Linked DNA regions of Lonchura striata. Each later gene encodes a partner of the first gene's protein in a complex. Links are inferred from orthologs where the notes say so. Each region holds a gene or a part of one and is shown in the gene's direction. Other genes may lie near its edges. The genes, in order: SYT1, SV2A and CPLX1.

Region 1 (10,296 bases):
TGTGTATAAATTCAGTACTTGAATTAAAATTATGCATTGCTACATTAACTTCTTTAGGTCTCTGAGGCAGTTTGATTTATAGAAGAGAACAGTCATGAAAACTGTGCTTTTAAGGTAGCAAGTCTTACTACAGATTTATACCTAACTGTGAGGAGAATTAGGCTCACTGGGTAGGATTTTTCTTTGCCTAAATTTTTTAAAAAGCAAGAAAGGTCTTCTTTTCACTAACATATTGTAATAAATAAAAATTCAGCTTTGACCTGGATAAATATCTATCAAGGTTTGCAGAAGAGACATTACTATTGACCTTATCATCTTAACAACACAGTTGGAGAACTCTATTTCCTTCTAATTTATACTCACAAAATTTGAAGGCTATGGCATATGCTATAGAAAAAAGTAATACGGCAAACAAAACAATTCTTTTAGTTTGTAAACAAAATGATGTTTCTGACAGAATTGCCAGAGTAAATGCTATCTTACCACATTGTATGCTGGCTAAGATATTGCTATGAAGAAAGCAAAATTCAGAAATATTTTCTACGAATTATATTAATGAAGCATAATTTTAAGTTCATTTATCTATGTGGTTTGCAAGCTTTTAAGTCTAATAAAAGTCTAGACACCAGAATTTACAGTGACTGCCTTATTGTAAGAGAAGTAAATACATTTTTTAAACACACAGAATACTACAAAATAATGATTACTGTAAAAGAATAATACACTTTCTTGATTTGGCATTTTAAATTCAAATACTAAGGTAATTTTACTTTGAATGAAATGACAGTGTGAGCTAAATGAAAACAAACTCCCTTGAGAATTATTTATCATGCTACTAATATTCAGAAGTATTTTCTGAAATTTAAAATACGTTAATTAGGTCTTTAGTAACTCTATCCCATTTTTAATTCACCTGGAAGTTTTTGGCCTACTCTGCATAGTTGGATGGTAGAACTTACCATGCTTTATGGCTGGGCTGGCTTCCTGGGGCCGTATGTCTGCTGCAAAGTGAAGGTTTCATGGACATCTCAAATTAGAGACATGAAATCTAGGAAGCCTGAAACCTTAAGATTTTATCTCTGTTTCAGTGTTATAGTCTGATACTTATATTATTTACTCTCACTCCACTCTCAGGGTGGTGTAAACATAAGCATATTTTGCATTTAAAAGTCAATTTGTTTGAGTCTCTCCATACAGAATTATGCTTAATTTGTATTGGAGACATGGAATGTGCTCTCTTATGTGCATTGTGATAGTCAATTCATACTGATTTGAAAAAACATTGTTTAAGTCTCAGCCCTCTCCTCAGAGGTAACACTGACTGCCATTACACAGATCTTCCACCTGTTTTGCAAGGTCACTCCTAAAAATTAAATTAGAAATGACATTTTGCATTCTTTTATTACACAGTCATCCATGATGCATACAGTAACTGTGGATTAGAAATTTTACATTGAGTAAGCCATAAGGTAAGAAGATTGATAATATCTGGGTGTTCTGGAAGCTAAGAGTTCAGTAGTTTGTCATTTTACATAGTAGATTGTGCCTGAAAAGGAAACTGGGACTTCAGCTCATCTTAGCTTAACTGAAAAGTATTTTTTTCTGGAGTGCCATCCTGAGCACCTCTTTGGTGAAAACTGACTTTCAAAGAGGGGAGGGGGATTAGGAATGCATATCTGACAACCCAAAAGAGAATCCCTGAACTAGGGGCACCATCTACAGGGGAACAGACTGACACTGACTCAGATCAGTTCATGCATTACATAGCTGACATCTGTGCAAAGCATATGCAAGTTGGTTTGGCTACACTTGAACACCCCCTCAGAGTACTTCTGTTTTCATTTTCATTTCTGCTGCCATAGTGTCCAGGAGCCCTGGGCACAAAGCAGGAGCTCTCAGTGTCAGCTGCTATACAAATGCAGACTAAAGGAGATCATCTCTGCCTAATCAACTTAGAAGCAGCAGCAGATGTGTACAGATCAAACAGAAGAAAACAATGAAATCAGATGACAAACTGAGACAAATATCAGTGAATGGACTAACAAGTTCTTTGATTTTACCCTTTGATTTTTAGCTATAATTAAAACCACAAACCCACAACATTTATTCTCCACTCTCTCTACCTAAATGGTAATCATATACATTGTTAGAAAAATAATCTTCAAAGATGATTTGCTTAATGTAACACTTCCATTAGTTGTGTATAGTTGAATAGTTACTCCAGTATTTATTAATTTTACTGAAGGTTAATTGTCACTTTAGGGACATAGCTTTCTTTCTCTGCTTTCATGTCTTTCATTCTAAGTGCATCATCACCACTCAGTAGGTATTATGTAAACTTTACTGAAACCAAGAGTGTGACAACAGAACACCAAAATGGGATTCCAAGTGTTTAATTCTCAGCTATACAGACCAGCCCTTGTATACCCAGTAAACTGGAAAAAACATCAAAACAATAAATAGCCATTAATATGTTAAAAGAAATTTCAGAAACACATTCTTAAACTACTGCAATAAGAGCCTATTTTTAAAAGCTGTTCCATTTCCCTAAGCAAAACCCAATTCCTTTATCTTCCCATAAAAGTACTTCTCTAAAAACTAACTTGATGATGGAAAAGACCAAATCAAAGCACAAAACAGAAGTAAATGACATTATAATGAAGAACAAAATAAAATAATTTTTCTGTTAAAGACAAGGATCTGTAACCTTGTGACACAGAAAGCCAGTTCAGTTAGTTTACAGATCTACCTGGTAAGTAAATTAACATGCTACCAGTTTTATTTACTTATTTATCTGCCAGTGATTTGCTCTCATTATTTACCTGACTTCCCATCTTGTACATCTATTTGTGGCAGTTGTGATACTTGGTCACACAAAGTGTGACCTACAAAAGGAAAAAAGTCAAAGACCTGATTGCTTTTTTGATGTGTAACAACTCCTGTTGCTCCTGAATTAGCCTCAGTTCAGTGACTGCCATTCTAGTATCTGCTCTTCGTATGCCATAGAACTTGCCAGGATAGGCCCAAGAATACTGGTTTCATTTGCTTTGGCCCAGGCTTCCTCCCTCTTTATGGATCAAGCAGGAGTCTTTCATTTTCCAAATCTAATTTTTATGGCTCATATTGCTTTCTAATCTTGAAGTCACAATATACAGAAAGTGAAAAATAAAAATAACAAACAAGGAATCATTTCTGCTCTTGCTTTTTATTCAAAATTTTGCCTGATTCTCCTGTACCTTTGTCTCAGTCTAAGTCTAAAACAAAAACAGAACATATGAAGAATATAATGGAGCCTAGCTCTCCATTTTTATGTAGCAAGATACCTGATGGAACTTCTGAATGGCTGACAGTAATTAAAATTATCTTCTGATGCACTAAAACACATAAAAAAAATTAAAATGCCAAAGAAAGCAACAAAATAGGGTTTACAATAGAATTTCTTCTGGATTTGCATGTTTCTTCTTTTTTCTCATAATAGGATCCTTTCTTCTTCCCTAAACACAACCATGGAAGAGTTAATAATAACAAATACAGTCATGTATGTTTCATGATTTTAGAGGCTAGCATTTGGCTAGCACTCCAAGCATTCATCAAATGGCTCCTGAGCTCTTCTAGAGCATCTTTGTCCATTCAGGATATGTATGTCATTCCTTAAGCCTCACAGCTTCCTTTGGTATAATTAACATAATGACTGGATACTAACTACCCATTTCCTTGAAAATGCAGTAGTGAAATAAAAATTGCAGGACTGAAAACCACTTTCTGTATGAATTAACCTTTGAACTTGAAAGAAACTGAAGGAAGCAACTTTTCAGCAATTCTTTCATTGCAAACAACCAAGCTCAGAAAATAATAGGCAAAAACTCTCCCAGCCACTTCGACAGCTGGTTTAAGTTTTTTGTTTGGTTGGTTTTTGTTTTTGTTTGGATTTTTGTTTTTGTTTTTTGAGGTTTTTTAAACATAGCAGAACAATTATGTATGGGCTACCCCAGTCAGAGAGTGCAAAAGTGATGGTATACTCTTCAGGACTACTACTAGATAGCATTTCTGTTCCTTGCTATCTGTACATTAAGGAAGGGCCATTGGGCTTCAGTGATGTTTCTTGTCTTTGCTCAAATACTAAGACAGCATATGATGTGTCATGCCTTGTGAATGTCAGACTCCCACAGACTTCTGGCTGTGTGGCTGTTAGGAACTCAGCATCAAGTCCTCATAATTACTAGCACTGAAATGTGTGGGTTTTTTAACTGACCAGATAAATGTTCCTGGAGAAAATAATCCTTGGTATCTCTTGTATTGGTACAGAGAAAACAGCAATCCTTTTAAATCGTACAGGGTAATCTGAACACAAGTGACACTTCTGCATATGCAGTTTAAATTATGGTTGTTCCTCCTTTCCATAGCTCAGTAAAAGCTTTACAATGTAATTTCTTTTGCATTTGCTTTCCTTCTCTCCTCTCATGGTCTAATGTGCCCATACAAGAAAAACTGATATTCTGACATAACAGACCTAAGAAAAAATGCGGTCAGAAAAACTGAACTGGAAAAGGGCTGTGAATTTTAGAGTCAAATCCAAACATGAAAGTATGGATGGGGAATGGCAGAATACAGTTCTATTGAAAGCACAATAAGTCACCTATGAGATGTGCCTGGGGGCCGTGTGACTTTCTCAGTTACCTGCTGACGATGGCATACGGGCTGGTCTCTTTGCCAACATCTGCTATCTATATTAAGATGTACTTTAGGTACTTTTCACTCTCAGTGTAATAACAGAAACTGACTAAATGGTTGTGAAATATATTACTACTTTCTTAAGTTTTCTTAGAACAACTGTAATCCAGCAGGATCATATACAGTAGCACATCAAACCTGAGCTACAACCTGTATGTTCAGTACCCTGTAACCAATTAAAGGTTAGGGGAAACACATACAGAAATACCACCCTGTTGTGTTTACAATTTTGCAGGTAAAATTGTTTTCCTCCTCTTTGAGGAATATTGCTTGTTATCCTCTTTGAGGGTATAAATGCAGCAGTAATATATGCTGAGGAACAAAGAACTTTAGTCTGTTGTGTTTTTAAAAGCTAAGCTTACATCTAAATCTATTTCCATTTCCCTCTGGAACCTGAGCAACTTTTTATGTTATATTAAACATCAGACAAATAGGATAGATCTAATTAAAAGTTGAAGAAATGTGCTTCCCTTAATTGAATTTGTTACAGTTACATTTTGCAGACCAGTGTTAATCAAAGCTCCAGTTCAGAGTGGATGGATCAAGGGAATTAGGTTAACCCTTGCACGTCCTTACCTGAACACGCGATACAGTCTGCTCTCGCCTAAGCCACAGAAGCCAATTACGACTCACCCCGCTGGGTCGCGACTGCCCGGGGCGGCGGCAGAGAGGGGGCTGCGCGCCGCAGGCTCGCTAACAGTACCAACTACGCCTGCCGGGGGTCGCCGCCGCCCCGCGACCTACGGGCGAGGGGCACTGCCGCGCCTCGCCCGGGGCACCCGGCTCGCCCGACGGCCGCGGGGCTTGCGGTACAGCGCGTCGTGCCGGCCAGCGGCAGCCCCGCGGCCGCCCGGGGATGCCAGCCTCGCCCGCCGCGCGCGGGGATACCCTCCTCATCCTCCCTATCCTCATCCTTCTCCTCCGCCCGCGGCCGCCCGGCCCCGCCCGACGGGGCGGACGGGGACCCGCGGCCGCGGGATGGGCGAGGCCGGCGCGGCGGCTCCACCCTCGGTGGGCGCCGGGCGATTGGCCGCGGAGCGCGTCTCCCCGCCCCGCAGCCAATGAGGGCGGCGGGCCGGGGGTGATGGGCTGCCTCTCGCGGGAGGGATTCCTGGAGACGCTGCAGTGTGGCGGCGCTCCCGGCGCCGCGCAGCCCCCGTGCCGCCTCCGCCGCCCCGCCTGCCTCGCCTTGCCCTGCCCGCCGGCGGCCGCCACCGCCGCTGAAACTTAACGCCCGGCGCGCCGCCTGCCCGCCGAGCGCAGGGGGCTGGGGCAGCCTGCCTGCCGTGCCGGGGGCGGTCCGCCCGCGCCCCGCCGCGCACCGCAGCCTCGCCCCGGGAGCTGCCGCCGCGGGGAGAGGCTGAAGGACGGAGCCGGCTGCGCCCGCCCCGGTTGCCAGGTAAGGCAGCGCCCCGGAGCTGCCCGCAGCCGCGCCCGGGCGGCGTCGCCGCGGGCGGGGGGGGCTGCCCGCTGCGCGGGCGGGGGGAGCGCACATGCTCCGGGGGCGGCTGTACCGCCGCCCGCCCGCCGGCTCTGCCCGCACTGCCGGGGGGCGGGGGCCCGCCCCCGGGGCGCTCCCGGCGGGGGTGGGGGCGTTTACGGGAGGGGCGACACAGACAAAGGGGACGCCCGCGCCCCCCCCCCGCCGCCCTCCTTGCTCTCCGCCCCCGCGGAGCTCCGCCGTCGCCCCCCGCCCCGGCTGCAGGAGAGGGGAGCCGTCCGCTCCGCATCCCTCCATCCCTCCGCACCGCTGCCCGGAGCCGGCGCCGAGGCGGCCGCCGGGCCAACTTGTTTCTCCGGGTGTCGCCTGGCCGCTGCCCCCGCCGTGCCCCCGCCCTCGGCAGGGTGCTCTGTCCCGACGGCCGCCCCGGCGGAGGGCGGTGGGGCGCGGCGGTGCGCCCCGCCCCCGGTGCTGGTCTCCCCTCCGGACCGCAGGACAACAGCTAATCGTTTATGTATCAATTCACGAAAACCTTTCCGTCATTACTTAGAAAGGCTGTCAGGCTAATGTGTTTTCTTTCCGTGCAATTTCATTTTCCTTCATGCCGAGTACCACTTGCCCTGCTCTGGTTTGGGTACGTTCAGTTCTGGTTCCTAGGTGCACACGGTATGAGCTGGGGATCAGCGCTCTGTTTAAAAGTTAATTTTGCCTATTCAAACTCCACTAGGTACAGTAGTAAGAAAGTGACAAAGAATGTTCATGTTTCTTTTGTTTCTAGCCTTCTGAAATAAAGATATCAAACGACTACTAGCTTCTGGTAGTCAGTATAGTAAATAAATTAAATGTAGTCGTTGGAATGAGCTTTTATGGCACTTTCAACAATCTGTAATTCAATCATCTCTTATACAAGCTGCCTTTTGCTATTATTCATCAGACCCAGTTGAGTGATTTCTGTCAGATGGGAAGTGGTAGAGAGAAATCTCTAGGTAGATGTAACTGAAAAGCTTTCCAAGTAGAGTCCTAAATGAGCACAGAAAAGCACTTGGCCACAATCTCAAGACAGATGTTGGCATCCAAATAAATAATTTCTTTTGATTGTCTGGGGGATGTCAAGTTTTATTTTCCTTATTTAATAGCCATTTGCGTGTGAATAAGTAGTTCTGTCTTTATTACCTTGTAAACTCAATGCAAAATGTTGTAGTGCAATAATATTTCACTGTCTCTGAAACCATATTTTCTGTACAAAGGTCAGTGGAGTAGTTCCAGATACGCATACATGTTGTAGATGACAAGTAGACTCCTAATCTGCAGTGGTGATATTGATCCTCAGAGCTGCTGTGCAGTGTGCCATCCATGTTGCATGCTAATCTGTTACGCGCTGTTTAAATTGCTTTATTGTCCGGGAGAGTTACTTCATCCTAAGAAAAGGAAGAAGGTACTGGCAGACTCAAGGGGACTTTCCTTTCCCTGTTGAGTTGACATCTAGAGTTACAGATGGGCAGTTGGTTTAGGAGTGTCCCTGAAAAAGGGAGGGGGAAGCTTTTGGGTACAAAGACAAGTAGGCAGTGAATTAATTTGCTTTGTGAGGATATGAAATGACATCCCCTGCCATGCTTAAAAAAACCTGCTTGGAAAAAGCGTAAGGAGATTGCACATGTGTCTAGAATACTGTTTTCTTGTCTGTCTTGGAAACAAATGACCTGATTTTATGTCTTGAGACAAATATGTATCTCTTTTGGTTCCAAGCTTTTTGGGTTTTTAGTTCTATTAGTAGTGTTGAGGGAAATATACTTTAATGTGGTGAATTACTTGGCTTGTGGTATATTTGCTCAAAATTTGCATGCATACAATTCATAAATTGAAACTATATAGCTTTAAAACATAGTGTAGGCAGCTTGAGTGAGAAGAGATAATTTCAAAAAGAACCACAGGGCATAAGATAATGACATACTGTAGGAAATAATCATACTCCTGCACTTGCAAAAGCATGAAGTGTTCCCGTGTAGCCATTTCATACAAGCCAAATTTTCCTTCACATTAAGAGCGTCTAAGTGAGCCTTATTAATGTTTGATGTGAAAGATGCTAAATCCATTTTAAGGGTTGGTACTGGAATTTAAAGAGGTAGCTCACAGACTAACAGCAGTTCTAATACTTCCTTAAAACAAATGTGAAAAATAATCAGTTGCCATGTATGCCACAGCAGTACAAGTGGCATACAGCATTCAGTGTAACACTGATGGGCAAGAACCCCTTTAAAACCATATAGAACAGTGTTTAGCAATCTGAAATGATCTCCTACCTTAATCATAACAGATCAGATGTAAGAGATGACCAAGAAGATGCTCAGTGTTGGTTAGTGTAGTGAAGGTGTGAGTTAAGGGAAGGTTCTGTTTGTCAGAAACCTAGGGAAAAAAAAAAAATCTATATTCTTCCAGCTAGCATAGAGACACCGGAAACATAAAATCAATTTTTATGGTCTTTCGGCAGGGTTGGCTGTAATAAGTAAAAAGAAGGAGCAGCTTAGTGTCTTGGCAGAAGTTTTTAAGCCACTCATCTGTACAGAACTCAGTTAATTGATGTTTCCTCATATGAAAATGAAGCTCTTATTTAGCATCTTGTTGTCTTTTCCTGTCCATTCAGTAGTCTGGTTACAATTTAAAAAAATATTTTTATGTAGTTTTATACTTGCATGCATGTTTGAACACACAGATAAACTCTACTAGGAGCTGCTTTCTGAATAAAGGGTGCATGCAACCTCATTACATGCTGTGGAAGAGACATTAAAGTTTGTGATAGGAATGAAAAGGACAAGAAAATATTTCTGCATATCTAGAAGAAAAGCATGGAGGAATTATAATGCATGGATACCATGATCTCCTTCCCTCTGCTGGAGATGCCTATATAAATATGCAATTTCACGAAGAGAAGTTCTTCATAGTTTGATTTTACTTGGATTCTCTATAGAATGTTTGTTTTAAACATAACTCTGTATCTAGGAAAAAAACTTAATTAGAAATACAGATAAGGGAACAAACTATCAATTTGTGCTTACTGCTGACATTTCCTAAAGATACTCGAGGTTAAAATAAAAGCATTTGCCAGACTAAGTAAACAAAGCATTAGGTTAACAAATATTTCCAGGATCGTTACGTACAAATGTCATCTTTGCTAGAGTAGGCTCTACTCTTCTTTCATACACCCCAGAAAAAGTGGGGGTGGTTTTACTGTTGCATCTTTTTACAGAAATACCAGACACCAAAGCAGACTTCATTAGGAGGAGGACACCTGACAAGGGTTTTTCATGATTTCTTCTGGTGATAGGCTAAGAGCAGGCTACAGGCAATCCCTTTCAGGGACTGCATAGATTAGCTGAGTGATTTGTGCAGCAGCATGTGGAAAAATTTTCGTTTAAATAAAAAAAGAAGTAAAAGTATTTACTAATACTATTTTTTTTTTCTTTGGGTCTTGTAATGACTGAAAGCAGGATGGGAACTATAATAAGAACGTCTCTTTAAGTACTACTTTTGACAAATGTCTAATCAGTATGTTTTAGAGGCTGGCTTTTCTCTTCTGTTGTTTTCCCCAGGTAGCTAAAGGAGGAGCACATGAATGGCTTATGAGAGAACTGACCATTTTTCTTAACCTGCTTTCTTATCACTGCCAGTCTTGAGGTATTTCCCTGAAACAGAAGGCACTGAACAGTTCTCCTTCTCCATACTAGAGGGAGTGGTGTTGCCATCTTCTAAATTCGCAGGGAATTGCAAACTCGGGATGCCAATTCTCTTTTCCAGATATCCCTAAATAGGCTCAGAAAAATCTATCAGAACATGAAATAAATCTGGAATGTTTCCTATGCAGTGTAGTTATCTCATATTCTATATTCTAATATTCATAATATCTTTTTAAATGGAGAAGATTTAACAAATTTTTAAACAATCATGAGAAATTATCCAAATAATTAATCATCTCTGAATTATTATAGTTATATACAGATTTCAGGAAAATAAAATTTTATTTAGGAGTGGCTAAATCTAATTTGGTTCTTTTAAAGATGCTGTCTGTAAGTTTCCTGGGCACTATTCAGGATCTATGGCCAAATGTATTGTGGTAGCTTTAATAATGT
Region 2 (10,205 bases), on another chromosome or scaffold:
CCCTCCACCTCTCCTTTCCTCCCACTTCCTGCTGGACCTCTCAAACAATTCAAACGTCAGCGAGTTATTGAATTTCTGGGTCAGAACTAATTAGCTGACCGGTCCCTTTAAGTGTGGCATCCAGTAATTTTTTTGATAATTATCAAAATACTGGAGTTTAATCTGAGCGGGGGTTATGATTGTTGAAGGATCTGGGGAATTCAGGAGGTTGTTGCTGTCTGGGAGGCACCAGTTTTCCTTGAGTTGGGAAGGTGCAGGGACAGGGGAAGGAAGGAAGGAAGGCAGAGATGCAGAGAAGGAAGGCAGGAGCTGATTTTGGCATTAATAATTGAATGAAACCACTTTTTCCCCTGGTTTCCCCACTGTTTTGGCCCTGTGCTCCTGGGAAGGAGCTGTGTCTGCATCTCAGCTCTGTGTTCAAAAGCACAGATTTTGTGAAATGTGCAGTTTAATGATTCTCTGGGATTTGTTTTGATCTCGTAGCTCCAGAGCCACCCTAATTAGGGAGCTTTGTGTGATCCTGCTCTGGCCACGCCAGGAACAGATGCTGCAGGGCCTGAGCAGAGCCAATTACACCTGGCCAGGGAAAACCAGGCTCAGGAAGAAAGAGTCATTGGTTTATTTGGTGTTTTGGTGTTTAAATGGGTAAAAATGGGAGGAAAGGGGAGAAAATCAGGGCTGACAGTGGACTGCAAGGTGGAATGGGATAAAAACAGGGATAAAATGGGATCACTGGGAGAAAGGAAGTTTGGGGGGACCCTGGCTGCCCCAGTTGGAGCAGGGCAGCCTCCCACAGTTGTCCAAATTCTCCAGGGATGGGAATTCCTCACTGTGCCAGGGCTTCACACACTTCTCTTTTCCCACCCACTTGCATCCAAACCCTTTCCTCTTGCTTTAAACTCCGTGTTCCTTTCTCTTTAACCCCCTTTTTGGCAGCAGAAGCCCCCCTGCACTCACGATTTCCAGACCCAGCTGGAATTTTGAATCCTGGGGGGGCTTCCTGCCACCCCTAACTCCATCATCCCCCTAGGAATGCCACCCATGCAGGTGCACCACGGGCCACCTGGCATGGGGCAGCACCACCCAGGACCACCCGGCTCTGGGGGGCAGCCGCCCCCCCGGCCCCCCCCGGGCATGCCACACCCCGGACCCCCCCCCATGGGGCTCCCCCCACGGGGGCCACATTTCGGATCTCCAATGGGTGAGTGGGGTCTGTTTTTGGGGGGCTCTGCTCTGGGGGAGGAGGAGGGGATGAAGCAAGACCTGGGGGACCTGGCACCCCCCCAACTCTGGGGTCTTCACAGGGTGACCCCGCAGACCCCCCCCCGTGGGGATATCCACAGCTTTGGGATGGTTCTGGGGGTCCGTTGTGGGGGTCTTGGGAGCAATTCCTGGTTTTGGAGGAGCGTTTGCCAAGCTGGGGCTGGAGGGGGGCACCTGCTGGTTGTGGCACCCGTAGGTGGGGTGGGCACCTCCAGGGAAGTTTGGGGGTGGCTTTGGGCTGGTGGGCCGTGTTCCTGCAGCGGGTTTGGGGGGGCTCTGTCCTTTCCCCCTGGCACTGACCCCCCCTGTCCCCCACAGGTCACCCCGGGCCGCTGCCGCACCACGGGCTCCGCGGGCCCCCCCCGCTGATGCCACCCCACGGCTACAACGGGCCCCCCCGGCCCCCCCCCTACGGCTACCAGAGGGTCCCACTGCCCCCCCGGCCGGCGCAGAGACCCCCTGGAGTGCCCCCCCGCGGGCCCCTGCGGGGACCCCTGCCCTGAGAGCTGGGGGGCTCTCTGCTCCCCGTCCTCCCACGGCCCCTGCCACCAACATTCCCATCCCTGCAAAGGGCTGGGGGCCACCCCCCACTCCTCCCTTCCCTCCCCATTTTTTCCCCCGGTTTATTTTTATTGTGTTAATTTTTCTCCCTCTCTCCCCATCTCCTCCCGTTTGTCTTCCCCTGGAAGCTTTTCCAAGCTCCTTTTTATTGGATTTTGTTGGTTTTGTATGGAAAGCAGTGACCACCCACTTGAAAATAAAGGATTTGGGGAACCAGAAGAGTTTCTGGATTGGGGATGAGGCTCTGCTGAGATCTCTTCCCTGCTTGGGCCTTTGGGAAGAACCAGGCTGGAGGGATTTGGGACAGAGCTGATCCATGGTCTGATTCCTGCTCTCTTCAGCTGCTCCAGGAAATGTTTGGATTCCCGTTCTTGAGCTGCCCAAATCCAGGTTTGACTGTGGAATATTTTGGTGCCAATGTTTAGACAAAGTCAAACATTCCCCAGGGAAATCTTCAAGAGGCTTGGAGTCCACAAACCCCTTCTGCTGCCCCTGGGCAGTGCCAGAGCCTCCAGGAGCTGGGAGTTTGTGGGGGGACATGGAAGTGGGAATTTGCTGCTTGCTTCCTTCTTCATCCCACTGTTGTCTTCTTACAGCCAGGTGGGTCTGGATGGGATAGGAAGGGAAGGTTGGAACCCACTCCTGACCCTTCACATCCAGAAACGTGGGGAGAACCCCACAAGGATTGGTCGAGGGAGTGGATTTAGGTGTAAGGGGTGGGATTGTGTGGGGACAGGGGTTCCCTGTGGTGCTGAGAGCCAAGGGGCTGAAGAGATCTCCAGTATCCAGAGAATCCTGGGTGGGTGAGCCCCAGGGTGGCATTTCCCTGCTCCTCACTCATGGAAGCCACCAGGATCCCCCTGGAGCAGCAAATCTCCCTGCATGGACACAATCATCATCCCCTTTTCCCCTGGGGGTATCCAATGTCACCCCCACTTTTATCCCATCGTCCCTGGTGTTATCCTGTCATTCCCAGTTACATCCCACCTCCCCTTTCCTCCCATTTTATCCCTGTTTTTATCCCATCCCACCTTGCAGTCCACTGCCAGCCCAAATTTTCTCCCCTTTCCTCCCATTTTATCCCTGTTTTTATCCCATCCCACCTTGCAGTCCACTGCCAGCCCCGATTTTCTCCCCTTTCCTCCCATTTTATCCCTGTTTTTATCCCATCCCACCTTGCAGTCCACTGCCAGCCCCGATTTTCTCCCCTTTCCTCCCATTTTATCCCTGTTTTTATCCCATCCCACCTTGCAGTCCACTGCCAGCCCCGATTTTCTCCCCTTTCCTCCCATTTTATCCCCGTTTTTATCCCGTCCCACCTTGCAGTCCACTGCCAGCCCCGATTTTCTCCCCTTTCCTCCCATTTTATCCCTGTTTTTATCCCATCCCACCTTGCAGTCCACTGCCAGCCCCGATTTTCTCCCCTTTCCTCCCATTTTATCCCTGTTTTTATCCCATCCCACCTTGCAGTCCACTGCCAGCCCCGATTTTCTCCCCTTTCCTCCCATTTTATCCCCGTTTTTATCCCATCCCACCTTGCAGTCCACTGCCAGCCCCGATTTTCTCCCATTTTTCCCCGTTTTTATCCCGTCCCACCTTGCAGTCCACTGTCAGCCCTGATTTTCTCCCCTTTCCTCCCGTTTTTACCCATTTTTATCCCATTCCCCTCAGCTCTTTCCCACTCCGTGTTTCTCTGTCCTGCTGCCAAGCCTGTTCCTTCTGATGAGCCACAAAAAATCCCCCGGGGCCGAGCAGAGCTCCGCGGTGACAGTGGCACATGAGTCACCGGGTGCCTGGGGATGTGGCACTCCTTGTCACCATTTCCCAGGGATGCTCCTCCACTCCTGCATTTCCATCCCTCTTTTAGTTTATTTATTTATTTTTTTTCTTCTCCACAATCGGTTCTCAGCTCCTGGATTTGTAAATCCTTCCCAGTGCAGACTGGTCCCCATCCCTGTTTTCCAGTCTGAAGGGCGAAGCGACGGATCCTGACTGTGAGGTTTTGGGGTTGACACCCTGGAAGCTGGGACGGGGTCAGCTCAAGGCAGGGGATGCAGGAGGATTGGGGTTCAGGGAAGATTTGGGATCTGGGAATGTTGGGATGCAGGATAAAAGGGCTTTGGGAATATTGGAATGCCAGGGAAGGGGTTCAGGGAAGATTTGGGATCTGGGAATTTTGGGATGATGCAGGATGGAGGGACCCTGGGCACTTTGGAATGCCAGGGAAGGGGTTCAGGGAAGATTTGGGATCTGGGAATTTTGGGATGCAGGATGGAGGGGTTCTGAGAATATTGGAATGCCAGGGAAGGGGTTCAGGGAAGATTTGGGATCTGGGAATGTTGGGATGCAGGATGGAGGGGTTCTGGGAACATTGGAATGCCAGGGAAGGGGTTCAGGGAAGATTTGGGCTCTGGGAATTTTGGGATGCAGGATGGAGGGGTTCTGGGAATATTGGAATGCCAGGGAAGGGGTTCAGGGAAGATTTGGGATCTGGGAATTTTGGGATGCAGGATGGAGGGGTTCTGGGAATATTGGAATGCCAGGGAAGGGGTTCAGGGAAGATTTGGGCTCTGGGAATTTTGGGATGCCAGGGAAGATTTGGGCTCTGGGAATGATTCAGGATAAAGGGGCTCTGGGAACATTGGAATGCCAGGAAAGGGGTTCAGTCAAGATTTGGGATCTGGGAATTTTGGGATGCAGGATGGAGGGATTCTGGGAATATTGGAATGCCAGGGAAGGGGTTCAGGGAAGATTTGAGGCTTTGGGAATGTTGGGATGCAGGATGGAGAGGCTCTGGGAATATTGGGATGCCTGGGAAGGGGTTCAGGGAAGATCTTGCTCGTGGGGGCACCCCAAACCCTGCTCGCTGTGCAGGGCCCCCCACTCTGAGCTCAGCCAGTCCCAGGAGCACCCAGCACCCACAGCCCCGGGATATGGGGCTGGACATCTGTGGGTCCCAATTTCCCACCCTCGGGAAGCCATCCACGGGAAATGGGGGTGGGTTCGGACATCCCACGCTGCAACGTGCATTTCCAGCTGTAACCCCAACACCCCCCCCAAAAAAAAAAAGTAAAAAATTCATCGGGGGCTTTTGTGTCGTGTTGTAGCCTAGGGGCCGAGCCTGGCCAGCCGATTTGATCCCAAAAAATCCCAATCCAGCCCCGCGGAGGCCGTGACTCAGCCGTGGCGGGGGCGGGCGGGCTGAGCTGCTCCGCGGGATCCGGGGGGGCCCTGCCTCACGCCCCCCGTCCCACCCGCCGCCCCCCGCCGCCCGCAGCCTCCGGAGCGGCTCCATCCCGGCGGCTCCGTGCCGGGAGCCCCGAGCCCGCGGGAACTCCGCTCGCTCATCCCGGCAGCTCCATCGCCCCCTCCCCGCTGGGCCGAGCCCCCCGCCCCCGCCGAGCCCCCCCCGGTTCTCGGCGTGCCGTGGTTGATCCCTCCCTTCCCGGTGCTGCGCCGATGGACTCTCCCAGCGCTCCCGGTGCGCGGCGGAGGCTGCGGCGGTAGCGCTGGTACCCGGGAGCTGCCGGCGCGCCGTTTCGCTGCCGGAGCATCCTCTTTCCGTTATCCCTTCCCGAGCATCCTTCCTCGCCGGAGCATCCCCCTCGCCGGCGCCGGGAAGGAGCTGGAGCGCGGCGAGGGCTGAGCCAGGTAAGCAGGAACAAAACGGGTTTATAGCCCGCATCCCCCCTCCCCGCGGCGTTAATCGGCGTCCTCGGAGCCGCTGATGGATTCGGGGTTCGTTTTCCTACTTGCTGTGGCCATTTTGTCCTGGAAAACCTTCTCCAGAGCCCAGCTCTGCCTTTGGATGTGCGTTTTTGGGGGCTCCTCTCATCCCCCCCCGTGCCTGTGGCCGCAGAGCAGCCGGAGGGGATCGGGAATTCGCCGCAAGGACGGGAAGGGGGAACCGGGGGGGGTTTTTGGGGAAGGGGTAGCAGGGGGAGATGTTGGGGGGTGACCTTGGACACGAGCGATTCCCAACTCTTCCCCCTTGTCGCCATGTTCCTGGCGTTCCTGGCGTTCCGCAGGGAGGCTGGGGGGGTTTTGGGGGGGGATGCAGCCCCCCAGTGTGGGACTCCCGGGGGTTTTGGGGTGCACGGTTGCATCCATCCTCGGCTGCGCTTGGATGCGTGGCAGGAGGAGACGGATCCAGACCCGATAACCTTGTGCAGAGCTGTCCAACGCCACGACGGGGCTGCAGGGCCAGCGGCGTGTTCAGCCCCCAGATGGGCATTTTTTGGGGGGACCCCCCTGGCTCCCGCATTTCAGGGACTGTGCTCTGTGGGATTTCTGGCTCTCCTGTGGGATCCGACCCCTGATCTCAGGCAGCTCTGGCTCCTGGCGTCGGCTCGGCCGCTCCGGGCTGCCCGGTTTGTACGGCCGCTCTCTGTCACCGAGCCAGCCGTGACCTTGCTCCCCGGCCCATCCTCTTCCTCACCGTGCACCCAGCCTCTCCCTGCTCCCCCATTCCTCCTCCCGGCCCCCCAATACCTCCTGCTCTGTGCAATGCCAGCCCCACACGGGGATGTTCCAAAGGGAACCGCAAGCCTGGCTGGAGCAAAATGACCTTGGTCATGGATCAGGAGCTTCACAGGCCCACGGGACCCCCGGGGAGGGGATTTGGGGTCTGCCCGCAGCCAGAGGGGAGGACATGGGGGGGAATTTGCCATTTTATCCTGTAAAACCTGCCTCTGCTCGGGAATTGGGACCCGTGCTTGCCGCAGCCCCCCTCTCTGCAGGGTTTCCGAAGGGCTAAATTTAGCGTCCCTGCGTGCCCTGTCCCCTCGCTGGGCAGGGGGGGGACACGTCGCCGGCTGCGTCCCTCTGCCCGCAGCTCCTTCTAAAAATAGCATTTTTTGGGGAGGGGGAGGTGGGGAGGGTCACGACGGCCCCTGAGGGTGGAGCAGCAGCATCGGGCTGGGGGGCTCCATCCCTGTCACGAGCTGAGCCGGGCTCTGTGCAGTGGGTGTGGGGACGCTGGGGTGTGGGATGCTGGCATGTGAGGGGACAAGGAGATGCCACCCCCAGGGATTCTTCTCCCCCCAGGGGACTCGTGGTACCCCCAACCCCCTTTGGCTGGGTCGGTGCTGGTGTCTCCCGCAGTAAATCCTGCAGTGAGCGTGGCCTGGCACGCACGGGTCACTGTCACTCGAGGGACCCCCCAAGGGGCTCCTGTACCTTGAGCCACCCAGCCAGGGCAGTGCTGGGAGGGACCTCCATGCCCTCAGGGGCTGACCTCCCTCATCCTCCCTGTGGTGCCCAAGGAAATGGGGAGCTTCGGTCCAGACGTGCTGATGGCCTTGTTTTTTTGGGGTGACTTGCAGCCCTGGGGATGCTCAGGGGCAGCCGTGTCCCTGATGTCCCCCCCAGCTCCCCCTGTGCTTTGGGATGAACGCAGAAGGGATGGATCCAGGGGGACTGGGGGGTCCCAGTGAGCTGGGGCAGCTGGAATCCCCCCGGTGAGGGGACGGGGGCTGGTATGGAGCCAGCGTCTCTCAGCCCGTCCCCAGTCCAGCCCCCTCCTGCCGCTTCACCGGGGGGGGGTCCCCAAATCCTCCTGTTTCCATCCGAGACGGAGAAAAAGCGCGAGGTGGCACGCAGGGCTGCTACCACCCAAGCTCAGCCTGGTTTTGTCTGGGCTCCCCAGGTCCAGGCTGGCATCCAGGGTCCTCCCACAGCCCGTTCCACGGATGGGTAGCTCCATCACCCCTCTCCCCTCACCCCGGGCCTGAGGGCGCAGCCCCCGACGCAGAGACCACCCCCCGTCCACCCGCAGCGCCCCGTGCCAGCCCAAGGGCACCATGGACGAGTCGTTCCGGGACCGGACCGCGTTCATCCGCGGCGCCAAGGACATCGCCAAGGAGGTGAAGAAGCACGCGGCCAAGAAGGTGAGCCGGGGCATGGACCGAGTGCAGGACGAGTACACCCGGCGCTCCTACTCCCGCTTCGAGGAGGAGGAGGATGACGAAGACTACGCGCCCCAGGACGGCTACTACCGAGGGGGCGAGGGGGCCAACGAGGAGGAGGGGGTGTCCAGCGACGCCACGGAAGGCCACGACGAGGAGGACGAGATCTACGAGGGCGAGTACCAAGGGATCCCCCGGCAGGAGTCGCTGAAAGGGGGGGAGCGCCTGGGGGCCGCGGCGGCCGCCGGCGCTTTCGACGACGGCGAGGGGCAGCGGAGGAAGGACCGGGAGGAGCTGGCGCAGCAGTACGAGCTGATCCTGCAGGAGTGCGGCCACGGCCGCTTCCAGTGGACCCTCTACTTTGTCCTGGGCCTGGCCCTCATGGCTGACGGCGTTGAGGTCTTTGTGGTGGGCTTCGTCCTGCCCAGCGCCGAGAAGGACATGTGCCTCTCCGACTCCAACAAGGGCATGCTGGGTGAGGAGAGGGGCACGGGGGGCAGGCAGGGGGATGTGGGAGCGGTGGGTAGGGGGGTCAGAGGGGCAGGGTGGCACGGAGGGGCACTGGGAGGTGTGGGGAGGTGTGGGGATACGGAGAGATGTGTGGAATGTAGGGGGACATGAGGACATGTTGGGGGGGCAGAGGAACACGGGAGGGTGGGGACACGGAGCTGGGGATGGGGGAGGACGTGGGGGGCTTGGGGAGATGTTGGGGGGTCATAAGGGCTGTGGAAGAACACAGGGAGAATTGGGAGGCCGTGGGATGTGGGGTCCAGGAAGGGATGTGGGGGCAAGGAGGGGTGAAGGACACCCTGGTGAGGGCTCCCACCATCCTCCTCCCAGTCCTACACTGGTCCCCACATGAGCAATGGTGAGGGGAGCGAGCTCAGAAACTTGGGCTGACTAGTGGATGCTGAGAGTGGGTTTGGGGGGCTGTGGGGGGCTTTGTCCTGTTGCTTTCCCCCTTCTCTGTGATGCCTGCCAGAGCCTGACAACCCCCCCAAATCCCAGGGGACATCAGTGCCCCCCATCCCTGAGATTTGGCAACCTTGGGACAGGGGGAGGGGCTGGCTGTGGGGGTCCTGGGGGTACCTCTGCCCCCCCAGTCCCTGAGCGGAGCAGGGGGACAACGCGGGATCCTGTCCCTTCCTTCAAGGGGACGCAGCGTTTTGGGGAGGGGGTCCCTGCCCGCTGCCCTCCCCCAGTGCCGAGGATGCTCTCCCTCCTCCGGGTGACTCGGGGTGCAGGTCCCTGTGTCCCCCAGGACTGACCTCGCTGCGTGTCCCCCTCGCCAGGCCTCATCGTGTACCTGGGCATGATGGTGGGCGCGTTCGTGTGGGGCGGGCTGGCCGACCGGCTGGGCCGAAGGCAGTGCCTCCTCATCTCCCTCTCCGTCAACAGCGTCTTCGCCTTCTTCTCCTCCTTCGTCCAGGGCTACGGCACCTTCCTCTTCTGCCGCCTGCTCTCGGGCGTGGGGTAAGGGGGGCCCGGCCGCGCGGGGACCCCCGGAGCAGGGGGTGGCACCGTGGGGCGTGGGGCGGGGGGGTGATGCCGCTCCCTCCCCTCCGTCCCCAGCATCGGCGGCTCCATCCCCATCGTCTTCTCCTACTTCTCGGAGTTCCTGGCGCAGGAGAAGCGCGGGGAGCACCTGAGCTGGCTCTGCATGTTCTGGATGATCGGGGGCATCTACGCCTCCGCTATGGCCTGGGCCATCATCCCCCACTACGGTAGGAGCCCTGGGCTGGTGGCACGTGTGGTGTGCTCCGGGGCTCGGCCCCACCGCCGTGTCCTGTCCCTGTCCAGGCTGGAGCTTCCAGATGGGCTCCGCGTACCAATTCCACAGCTGGAGGGTCTTCGTCCTCGTCTGCGCCTTCCCCTCGGTCTTCGCCATCGGGGCGCTCACCACCATGCCGGAGAGCCCACGCTTCTACCTTGAGGTGGGGTCTGGGGGGGCCGTGGGGGGAATCTGGGGTGCAGCAGGGTCCTGGAGTGGGGGTCCCCTCGAGGAAGGGACGCCCGGGTAGGGGTGGAGATGGGACAACACAGACAGGGGGTGGTGAGGTCTGGACAGGAAGCCCCAGGTGGGTTTTGGAGAGGGGTGGGAGTGGGCAGGAACCCCCAAGTGGGTGATGGGACCCCCCCAGAGGGATGATGAGGTGATGAAGGTGGTGATGAAGATGGTGGAGGGATGAAGACGGTGGAGGGATCCCCGGCTGGGTGGCAGAACCCAGGTGGGTGGTGGAACCCAGACTGCTGATGGGGGGTCAGGGTCCAGCTCCGGGGTGTCCCAGGGTGACTTTTTGCTGCCCTCACAGAACGGGAAGCACGACGAGGCCTGGATGGTGCTGAAGCAGGTCCATGACACCAACATGAGGGCCAAGGGCCACCCTGAGAGGGTCTTCTCGGTAAGGACCCCCCAGAGCTCAGCCCTGGGGTCCCCTGGGTGTCCTCCAGGCACAGGGGTGCAATTCCCACCTC
Region 3 (10,876 bases), on another chromosome or scaffold:
CCTGTTTGGAGCTGCCAGCTGCAGCTCCAAGCAGGCCCGAAAGAGAGAGCTGAAAGAGTAATAGAGGGTAAAAGAGAGAAGTTTTTGTTATAATACAATAAATCTTCTTTTGAATGTTGAATATTTTAATTTTCACTAACTAATTTAGTATAAGATAGAAATCTTATAAGGAGCATTTACATTCAGCTTATATAAATCATTATATTACTATACTGTTACATTATATTACTATACTGTGTTACATTTTAAACCCTAAAAACTACTTTTTGGACCACTTTTGCTAAGTTAGTGGGGTCTGCTCTGACCCTTGGACTTGTCTGCAAGTGGAGGGTATTGTTTAATCAAAAGGGGATTACCTTTAATTTGCTATACTATGGTTTTCTAGTTGTTCAGTAACTAAGGCTTGGTATCTCAAAGCTTGCTTTCATTTCAGTCTTGCTTATAGTTTCTATATCCTCAAAATCTTTTGCTAAGCAATCATATTTATAAGGCTTTCCTATTTAATTTTCCCCAGCATGGCCTCCTATTGGCTGCCTCCCCACCCCTAGGAAGAAGAAGAAGGAGAGTATACACGTGTTTTTTTTTCCTACTTAAAGTGTCATCACAGAGGTGTTACCAACTTTTTTAATTGTAAAGAACAGCTAGCAACATGTCCATTTTCAGAGCCTTTTGGTATTTGCTCTCCTAGACATAGTAGAAGCTTTAAGCAGATGTTTGTTTTTCTCAAATGTTGCCTCTGTGGCTTTTCCCACTCCCACTAAATATCAGGCTGCGTTAAACTAACACAAGTACACATTCACCTCATGCTTAATGAAAAGTTTAAAATATTAAACAATTACATTTTTTGTTATAGCTTAGGGATTGACATATTGCTTTTGAGGTGAAGGCATCCCTTCCAAAATGAGCTCAGAACTTGAGGCTACTCTTTTAACACAGGAGAAGAACTACAGGCCATAGCATCTGACACCAAGCTATCATTTCAGCCAAGCATAATACTTCCCTCTGATAATTTTGTTTTCCAAGACATAGAGTAATAAAAGAAGGCGAGGCAAAGAATTAATTACCTGGGAAAACAGAAATTCTGTTGTAAAGTGTGTTTGACCTTTTGAATCTTGCTTGCACTTTAAATTGCAACAAAGAGGAAAAGTATGGCATCTTTTTCCCCTCTCCATTGACAGAAGAATTCTGAAACAAATCCAATTTACTCTGCTATGATTTTGTTTATTTTTCATACACACATGTATGGCTTGAAGCAAAGAGTCAAGGCAAAGTGATTTGGTCATGGAAAAGGTGCAGCACTTTTGATACCTCAAAGTAGAATGTTTCAACAGCATCAAATATATAGCAGTAATTTTTTTTACCTTCTTTGCTTCTAAACTCCTGTACAAGCTGACAGATTCCAGAATGCTCTGGTTTGGATGACTTATTCACTGGTGGAAAAATTCTTGCCAAAAGTACTTGAAATAATAATCTTATGACAAAAACTTGATACACTTTGGATAGAGGCATCTTTATTTAATCACTGCAGTGATAAAGATGGATTCTTGGCTTTATGGACAACTTCTGTCTGCCAAGGAAGCCTTGTAATCTACAGCTGTAAATCCTGGAGATAAGAGGTACAGGATTTACCTGATCATGCCTATCCACAGGAATCAGAGTCCTGCTGAGAAGGGATTCTCAATAAGTCTGGCAAGGCAAAAACTTCTCCAGAGAGAAGGAAACAAAGAAAGGAATGAGATAGAGGGACTAGGGGAGTAGAAAAGGTAGAAAACAAACAAGAAGTTGTCAGCTTAAGAGCTAGAGGCTATAAATGGCAGCCTACCAAGGGTCCTATTCATAAAATAGACTGGGGCATCTGTGTTCATTAAAATAAAAAAGAAAAAAATTTTAAATTATATGGTTTGCACTCTTGTGTTCACATGTCATTAAGACAGAACAATCAATATGTGTCTGTTTCAGTTTTTCTGAGGGTGGGCAGCTAAAATTTGGTCTTGTGATAGCTGAAACAAATGCTCAACTAGAGAGTTCACCTTCAAGAAATCTCAAGGGACCAGAACTTCAGAGCTATTAGAAATGGCTGTAAAATCCTTTTATAATTTTTCCCTGCTTTAGGGAAACATACACTTCTTAAAAAGAATGTTATTTTTTTTTAAATTGGTTAGAAAATAAAAACCTTAAAGCCTGCTGTAAGTTGAATGTAACAAGAAAAAAAGCAGTACTTTTGAAGAGGTAAAAAATGCTTGAATTCTGAAATGTTTTGGCAGTCAGAATTGACAGTTGAAGAGAAAATGAAACAAACAGTAGATTTGTCTCAGTAGATGTGTTCAGCGAACTAAACCACTGAAGGATTTGCAACTGTTGTACACAAACTACCTTTAGCAAGTATTGACTCCTCTGTCTCAGTAGCTGTGTTGATAAAAAGCTAATCACCCTGCTCCTGTGCAGGTCTTGCCAGCAGCCTACTGAACAGCACAGCAGTTCCAATAGTGAGAGCTAATAAAAGATAGGGGGGAAAAAAGAAAAAGAAACTAAGTATGTTCATTTCGGGCGGCTGCTTAATTACTTTCTATAACATTTACACTTTGTTTGTGAGCTTTCTTATTAGTATCATTTTCACATGGCATTGGTTTCAGTTTAGTAGTCAAACACCATATGGAAATGAATAATCAAACACTGCGTTTTAAGATGTTGAAATGAAACATCCTGACTAATTTAATTTTTTTCTGTCTGAAAACAGACCCTTCCTTCTTTTTAGAGATACAAATATAAATTTTTCTATGGAAAATGTCACCAAACTCAATTATTGGCTTATTCCACTTCTTACACAGATTCCCAGCTGGTGGCCAAGGAAGGAATCTCAGTTCCATGCACAAAACTCCATGGAGGAGATCTTTGCTCAGTGTTCTGCACTCTTCATCTGCACCGAGCAAGGTCACAATGTGGATTCCTACTGTTCTGGTTCTGCAAGCAAGAACAAGCCTATTCCTACCATCAGGAGCAGGCATTTGTCAGCTACACAGTGCAATCCAGACTAAGAACTGGCTTTGGTGTTTGGAGAAGTTTCGGAGCTGTCAGGGCGGCTGTTCTCTGTCCATGGTGCTGGGATAGATCCCACTCACAGACCGCAGGCTCCATCCCTCACTCTGGTGAGAAAACGCTGCTGTTCCTGGGATTTGTTACTATCCAGTAGATCTTATAAAATTGCATTACTGCCAGATTCATACACATAAATTTTTATGAACCTAGGATATTGGTACATGCCATCAGAAAGAAGATGCATGTGACATTGCTCATATCATTACCATGGCTGCAGGAGCTATTATTTCTTGTGTATCAGACATCATGTATGGCAGGTAAATCACCTAGCAGATCCCCACGAGACTGTCTTTCCAGCTGGGTTTCTTGGAAAATTGAGGAAAGGCTCTGCCTCGGAGGTAAAAGCCTTCTCAAGAAGTCTTCCTAAGACTATGAATAGATGCAGATCATAGATTACATCATCTCTTTTGACTGTGTGCTTTCTTGCCTCTGTGCCTGATCCTCATGTGGTGAAGAGTGTACTGGTAGGAACTTTCTTGACCGAATAGTCAGAGTATCACCTGGACGGGAGGTACCCAAATCAGGCTCACAAATGATTGGATTTTCATCTGTACATCCTGTGGGTGGTACAAGGAATCTGGCACTTGAGGCAGGGTAGAGATACTGAAGTTAGGACTTAGAGTATCTCACTGGAGTTCGTGATTTCATGATGATGTGCCTTGGTCTCCTGAAGAGGAGGGAACTGTGAGGTAGTCAGTGTTAAGAGCTCAGTATCATGATTTTCTGTGTCAGCTGTGTAATCTGGAAAATGTGGGTGCAGTTTGGAAACAGAACCATAGGTACATGACCCTTGGAGAGTGGGCTGTCTCTGGAAACAGACCAGCCAGTCTAAACAGGTCAACAAGAAGCTCAGGGATCTTTCAGGGACTTCTGGATGTCCCTATTGTTTTGTCTGGCTTCTGAAATCCCTGTGGATGACGTCACTCTTCTCTGCACAGAGGGGAGGACAATTGCTGTTGCAAAGTTTGTAAGGAACCTATGAACAGGAACAATGACATTTCTCAGCAGCCCCACTTGGTTATGCTGACCCTTGACTGCTGCAGGAGTTCCTTGATGTAGCATGGTCCAGGATTCTCAAAATAGGAAGAAGAAAGCTGATTTTAGGCAACTGGGTGTTCTATCAGCTCACACTTTTCTGATCCTTCTGTTTGAAGGTATTTAATTGCTCCTTCCCAGACTCTGGGACACAAGAGCAAGGTGTGCGTATGGAGGTTTGCTAGTCTGGGATGGGGATGCTGTCCTTTCTCTAGGAGCAATCATATGATGAAAAAGGAATGTGAGGTGTGATATGACAGACCCAAACTATAAACCCTGCTCAAAGGCATATAGACACTTGGGGAGGCACCACAGATCTGGAAACACTGTGTTAATAGCATAGAAACCCAGGCACACAGCTCCAGCAGGCTCCCAGGTTCATTTCTTGAGCACAGTAATCTGTGCTGACAAACTCCTGTGTTATGTATGAAAAAACATAAAAAATACTGCATTATGCCTTTTGAATGGTGAGTTCAGGTATAAAACACTCACTCTTGTTCAGGTATAAAACACTCACTCTGGGGGTGAATTAAGGTATAAAACAAGAGGCTTTTCCACCCTGTCTTTTTCCTCCCTGAAACTTGTTAGAAAAAGTGCAGCACTGCTTACCCGGGTGACTTTCTTGGACTAACATTAGTGTCAGCTGCAAAAGTGGTTTTCTGGGAGGCTATAGAATAGAACAAAACAGTTCAGGGGAAGGGGACCTAAAGAGACAATCTAGCCCAATTGACTCGATCACTTCAGGATGAAGTGGTGTTATAAAGGGCATTATCCAAATGCCTTTGAAGCACTGACAGGCATGGGGCACTGAGGCAGACCCAGGTGGTAGACACGGCTCTGAGTGTAGAGATATGCACTCCTGCATCTGCGGCTGGCATCTGAAAGCTTTGCAGACTGCGGAGCCCCGATGGCTGCCTGTTCAGAGCTCGCCTGTTCTGGCTCCGCACGCCTTTCCGCGGGGCCAGGTGCGGGCCCGGCGTCCTTCCTGACCTTCAGACGATGTCGCCCACGGGCCGTGCCAGAATCTCCCCGGGAGGCGCCGCTGCTCCCCATCCCCGAGCTCCCCGTGTGCCGGCAGCATCCCGCTCTAGCCCCCTCCTTCCTTTTAGACCCATATATTACTCTGGGGGTTGCTGTCCCACCTCTCCTGCTGGCGACAAGAGGGCGGATCAGCAGCAGAACTCGTCTCCTCCCCATCCAGCGCCAAGCCGGCTGTCAGCATCCCTAAAGGTGGGCGCCGGTGCTCTGGAGTGGATATTGCTCTGCTTTGCCACATAGCGCTCGCACAGCTCCTTCCTCCTCACCTCCAGATGCCGTCCCGAATCCGGGCTGGACAACGGGTCGCTGCACTGGCGTCCTTCAGCGGCAGTCGCAGGGAGACAGACGACTTTCCTCTTTCCCCCCATCCCGTCCCTCCCCCCGGCCTCGCCCCCCCAACCTGGATAGCGAGAGCACAGAGACAAGCAGCCGGCGATTCTTCTCCGGCCGCAGTTAATTCGAGGCGAAGCAAGAGGGAGGAGAAAGTCTGCTCCCTCCCTTGTCTTCTTCCTTGCCTCTCCAACTCGTTCCAGGACCTAGGGAATGAGAGGGGATCTGGGGGAAGGACTCAGAACAGAGGATGCAGAACGCTCTCCCACACCCTCCCCCTTTTTGCAGGAAGCCGTGTTTGCAGAGATTTCCCCTGGCACACACAGACACTGACTCCCGAGGAGAGGCAAGGAAACCAATTGCAAAATGCTACAGCGGGCTGACAGCGGCCCCTCCTTCCCCCCACGGCACAGCACAAGGACACCTGGCTGCCGGGGACAGCAGGGATGGGGCGGGGGACAACTCGCAGACACTCGCACCCCTCCGCGGGTCGGGGAGCGCTGCCGGCATCCTCGGCACCGAGGGGCGAGGGCGGCGCAGGGAAGGGGCGGGGGAGCCGGAGGCAGGGGGAGGGAGAGAGTCCAACGCCCGCAACGAGGGGAGGAGGAAGGAGGGACCGTGTCGGTGGGATGGTCCGGAAATGCTGTGATAAAAAGAGGGGCGCGGGGGAAAAAAAGTAGGGAGAAGCTGTGGACTCATTCCTTCTCCCCCACTCCGCGCCCGCAACTTCCCCGGCGAGCCTCGGGCACACGGGCGCCGGCGGAGCCCGGGGGAGAGGAGGGAGAGGAGAGGCAGCCCCGGCACCTGCCGCAGCCCCTGCCCGGCCCGGCCCGGCCCGTCTCAGCACGCCGAGCGAGGTACCGGCGCCGGGGCGGGCGGGCCGTGCCGAGCCGGGAAGGGCAGGGAGGAGAGGCGGGGTGCGGGCGCACGGAGACGGGGACAGCTCTTGTCCCTCCAGGTGTCTGTGAGCCGATGCTGAACTCGGGCGGGGGGTGGGATGAAGGAGCTGTGCAGCACCTGAGGCTGGTCTCAACCTTGAGCCGTCCCGGCTCACCCTGAGGAGGTGCAGCCCTCGCCGGCGTTGCGCTGGGGGCTTTCCGAAGGGGGACTTTCCATCCCGCTAGCCGGACTGCATCCGCATCCCGATCGCCCAGCATCCCCCGCTTGTTCTCCCGGGCACTTGCAGGGCGCTTCACCTTCAAATGCCCCCTCGGCGGTCCCGGGCGGACCTGCCACCTCGGAGCAAACCGAGAGGGCGAGAAGCTAGGCGGGGAAAACGGGAAAGTTCAAAGGTTTAACTCCTTCCTGCCCGTCTGCAAGGAAAAAAGCCATGAAGGGGGACCGCATTGCTCCTCCGCACTCCTCCCGGGCGCTTGCCCAGGCTGGGGGAGCCGTCGTGTACCCCTGAGTCCTCCCAGCCGCTGACATGCAGCTCTGCTCCTTGGGGTGCCCGTGCAAAGCAGGGTCTGAAAGGATGGAGGGCTGGAAACTTGTTTGCACTCAGACAAAGGGAGGAAGACTGTGGGAAGAGAGCTGAGGAATATCAGGCATTATAGAGACACTATTCCTGTTTTAATTGTGCCTCTTTGCAGGCTGCCTTCCAAGGATTTCCAGTCTCTGTGCATGTGAGGTGTGAAGGTGGGCAGGACCCCAAGTGACAAATCATGGATTTTGTTATGAAACAAGCTCTAGGAGGTAAGTGTGATTGGCAAACAAGGGGCCTTGAATCCCTCCTACCCCTCCCCTTTCCACTCAGAAAGAGAGGAGATGGTCTACTATAGTAGGGACTGCACCTGGAATAGCTTATTGAGGACTTGGAAGAGCATGCCTGTCACTGATTAATGATCCCGGAGTGGAGTATTTGGAGAATCTGAGCAGGAGAGGGCAGCAACAAGCAGAGACCAAAGCCCCATGTCAGAGAAGAGACCTCCCACACAGGGTGTGCGGGCCCTGGGTCATGCCTAATTGGCACCTCACCACCTGGATGCACATCCTGCTGTGCAGCGCAAGCCTTGATTTGCTTCATGCCATGACACTGAGGCAGATATTATAAAGGACAAAGACTGGTTTAGGCAGAGTAAGCCCAAAGAAAGAGTGACATTTTGTCTATGTGTGTAAACCTTCTTTCATCTTTGGCCCAAAGACCAGCCAAATCCTGAACAAAAAATGCCCAGTGCAGAAATTTCTGTCTCTGATATTTTGATAGTTGTTTTTGGTAAGGACACTGCCACAATAAGGATGGAAATGATAATAAATTATTCCTACACACTTTACCTGGATTTAAGGCAAATCTTCTGTGGGTTTCTGTATATTAGTTTACGTGTATGAGGAATTATTTTAACCTAACGGTGTGAAATACAAAAGTTAGGGATGCGTGTAGGCAAAATTGAAAACACTGAATAAATATTTGGGAATGAGGTTCCTTTTTTCTGCCACAGTTACTTTCTAGACTGCTTGACCTGGACATTTGGTCTGAGCATCCCTGAGGTGATGCTGGATGCTGTTGGGAACTGAAATATTTGCCTCAGAGGAAGCTGATAATTCTCTTTTGTACTCTATTTCTTGTGTGCATTTTTCATTATTTTTGCTTTGAAGAAACTGTAGAATCATGGGGCTGTGTAAATGTTTAATGTGTGGTGATATTGATGTCATATACAACTTCAACATTTACTGCAGGACTCTATCCCATGGTGTGGAAATAATGTTTTCATCTCTGAAAGTGGTGGGTGTTTTTCACCAGAGGAGCAAAATTTTCACAGTTTAGAACAGAGGAAGCAACCAAAGTTTTAGTTGGGGTATTTTGAATAGGGAGATAAAACTGGAGAAGAAAGGGATGAATTTGTTTTGCATGAAACAGTGAGGTATGAGGACATCTGCGTGAGAAGGTAGCGGTTTGTGTGGCAGCAGCACTGTGCTTCATTTCACTCTTCAGTGCCTGTTTTGAAGGAGAATTAGTGTTAAGATGTGCAGACTTTGCACTGTTTGCTGTAGTGCAAGGTTGCTTGCACAGAATTGAACTAATGTACCTGCAAACTGGAGATACAGCAACTACAGCTGGAGATCCATAAATCCAGTGAAGGGACATAAATGCTCACAGACTGCAGCTAAAGGTGGGGGGAGGAGGGCTGCAGCAAAGGAATAACATCTACCATGGCTGCTTTTTTCTGCAGCTTTGTGACTTAACATGAGTTGGAAGCAGTGTCTGCCCGTGCTTAACAACATTCACCCTGGGCAGACCTCCTTCATTCTGACAAGATGTTGCATGCCAAGGTCAGGATTTGTATGGTAATAGGACTTTCTGAGAAGGTAAATTCAAAAAGCATCTTTTTGTGAAGTCTGAGCTTCTGATGTCAGTCAAGATGCTGTCCAGGGCACCAGCTCTTCTGCCAGATGACTTAATGTGTCTGGAACTTACCCACTTACTCAATAAAGGAGAAGTCTCTGCAGAGTGGTAAAATCCAGGAAATGCTAATTCATTAAGCAGAGTCCTATTTTTAAATTACAAATAGTTTCAACAAGATAAAACAAGATCTCCCATTGCAAATCTAATATGGAAAGTAAAGTGGTTTTGGACACTGGTTTCTCCCTGGAGTTAAAGCCCAAGCTGATGCAAATCATCCAGGCTGGCCAGACTGGCACAGCAAACCAAGGACTAAAGGATATAGTTTGCTTCCTTAGTTTTGGGTCCAGAACCCTTTATTTCTGCCAGTTCTGATATCCAAAGGGAGATTTACTTAAGAGCTGGACTCAGTGATCCTTCTGGGTCCCTTCCAACTCAGACTAATCTGTGAATTGTGTCCACAAGGATGGTCAAACTGAGCAGACCACCAAACCTCTAGTCAATAGGCTTGCTTTGGGTAGGGCACGTGGTCTGATCTGCTAGTGACTATTTTTATTATCCTCACTTTTTGGGAGGTCCTTGGGTGGATTTCATGGCTCTTTGATTTTAGTTTAATATGGTTTTTCCCAGAACACATCTAAATTCATTATTCTGCTTGATAGGATTTTTTAAATTGTGCAGAAGTTCTTATACTATTCTCATAAGCTCTTATGGATTCCTGGAAGAAAGAAAAAAATACTGCAGTTTTGTCATTAAGGTCTCCTCTAATTTACAAAAAATCAGACTTGCTATAGATTCTGCTTGCCAAATACCTACAGCTAAGGTAGCTTAACCCTTCAGCTATGTCAGATGGTGAAAATTCACAAGGGCTGAGGGCCAGTTGGATGTCCTTGACAGAGCATAAGGGGTATGTCATTTTCGTAATATATTTTTTCTTCCCAGCCTACAGCCCTAAATTTAAGCTTAGGCCAGATCTTATTATAACTAAGAGCCTGGATTTGAAAACTATTTGCAGGTGGTTGCTTTTGATCTTTCCCTGCTGTACAGGACTATGCAGGTCTCTGAAGCAGTGGAGGAGTTAGGAGCCAGGTTTTGTCATAGGGAGTGGTCAAATAAGGTACTGATAGAAAAATATCATTCTCCTACCTCCTACCACCTTATTGAGGTCTCACTCTCTGCTAATTAACAGTAGAACTAACCTTATGCTTCTGTGGGAGTTTTGCCATTGCCTTTGAAGAAAACTTTGAAGACATTAGCCTTGCCTATAATGGCACAGAATGATCACATTTGCTTTTCCTTGGAGTTTTGCCCATAGGGGAAGAAGGCAATGAGTTGTTTTGAAAGGTAGGTGAGCTAAGTTAGCAAGTTAGCAGCCAAGGAAAGGCAGTTATGTGGTGACAAGTTGCTTTGTTTGAAAGTTTGATGAGGGTATTTTGCGTTTGTGAAATCAGTTTGACAGGTATTGTTGAGGTAGAATGTGTCTTTTCCCTGGCTCGTTGTTAAAGAGGGTGTGCAGAAGTCTTTCTGTGCAGTGGAAGGTCATCCTCTGCTGTGCCAGCACAGGGATTTTGCTGCTGTGTTGACAGCAGAGTTTCTGCCTGAAGGTTGATGAGCTTGAAATGTGTCTTTTTAAATCCATGGCCTCTTCGTGGCAAAATCCTTGACCCTTTCATTAGCAGTGGGGACTGTAGTACAGGAAAAACAGTACAAAATAGTAGGTTATTTGGCTCATTTCCTTCTGTAGCTTTTTTTTTTTTTTTTTGGTGCTTCTCAGACCTTTCAACACCCTATATGGAAGTCACACTATTTATTGCCTGACAGTCACAAAAGTTGTGGAGAAGTAATGATGCTTATTAGCTGTGTAAAACAAGAATAAAGTATCAAGAGGGCAAAGGCTTAAAATTGCTGCTTCTTCTTCCACAGAAGTAACAGCAAGGGGATGTTTTGCACCTCTGACCCTGCTACCTCACAGACATTGTCAGAGGTGTGTAGCCAGGGTGATTTATCACTTTGCTGCTCCTGTGACAGTTCTTTAAA

The links.
Region 2: the proteins of SYT1 (region 1) and SV2A are in contact, whole or in part, in a crystal structure (PDB 4V11), measured with the Homo sapiens proteins. The link is inferred for Lonchura striata from reciprocal best matches to the Homo sapiens genes SYT1 and SV2A. Residues at the interface, in NP_001129277.1 of Homo sapiens: Thr291, Lys314, Lys326, Lys327, Lys328, Glu342, Ser343, Phe344, Ser345; in NP_001315603.1 of Homo sapiens: Asp82, Thr84, Glu85, Gly86, His87, Asp88.
Region 3: the proteins of SYT1 (region 1) and CPLX1 are in contact, whole or in part, in a crystal structure (PDB 5W5C), measured with the Rattus norvegicus proteins. The link is inferred for Lonchura striata from reciprocal best matches to the Homo sapiens genes SYT1 and CPLX1. Residues at the interface, in NP_001028852.2 of Rattus norvegicus: Glu271, Thr383, Gly384, Glu386, Thr406, Leu407, Gln408, Glu412, Met416; in NP_074055.1 of Rattus norvegicus: Val61, Met62, Gly65, Asp68, Lys69, Tyr70, Lys74.

Annotation. Positions count from the first base shown.
Region 1 is NC_134607.1:48,121,818-48,132,113, forward strand, and holds the start of SYT1 (synaptotagmin-1), read left to right. Parts: upstream 1-6,001; 5' UTR 6,002-6,130; intron 6,131-10,296. UniProt on the Homo sapiens protein: Calcium sensor that participates in triggering neurotransmitter release at the synapse. May have a regulatory role in the membrane interactions during trafficking of synaptic vesicles at the active zone of the synapse.
Region 2 is NC_134635.1:2,704,765-2,714,969, reverse strand, and holds the start of SV2A (synaptic vesicle glycoprotein 2A), read left to right. Parts: upstream 1-5,243; 5' UTR 5,244-5,475; intron 5,476-7,471; 5' UTR 7,472-7,625; coding exon 7,626-8,205; intron 8,206-9,022; coding exon 9,023-9,203; intron 9,204-9,302; coding exon 9,303-9,454; intron 9,455-9,530; coding exon 9,531-9,664; intron 9,665-10,042; coding exon 10,043-10,132; intron 10,133-10,205. Other genes in the region: SF3B4 (splicing factor 3B subunit 4), read left to right, coding at 1,031-1,201, 1,582-1,766. UniProt on the Homo sapiens protein: Plays a role in the control of regulated secretion in neural and endocrine cells, enhancing selectively low-frequency neurotransmission.
Region 3 is NC_134642.1:3,230,018-3,240,893, forward strand, and holds the start of CPLX1 (complexin-1), read left to right. Parts: upstream 1-6,099; 5' UTR 6,100-6,356; intron 6,357-7,091; 5' UTR 7,092-7,163; coding exon 7,164-7,194; intron 7,195-10,876. UniProt on the Homo sapiens protein: Positively regulates a late step in exocytosis of various cytoplasmic vesicles, such as synaptic vesicles and other secretory vesicles.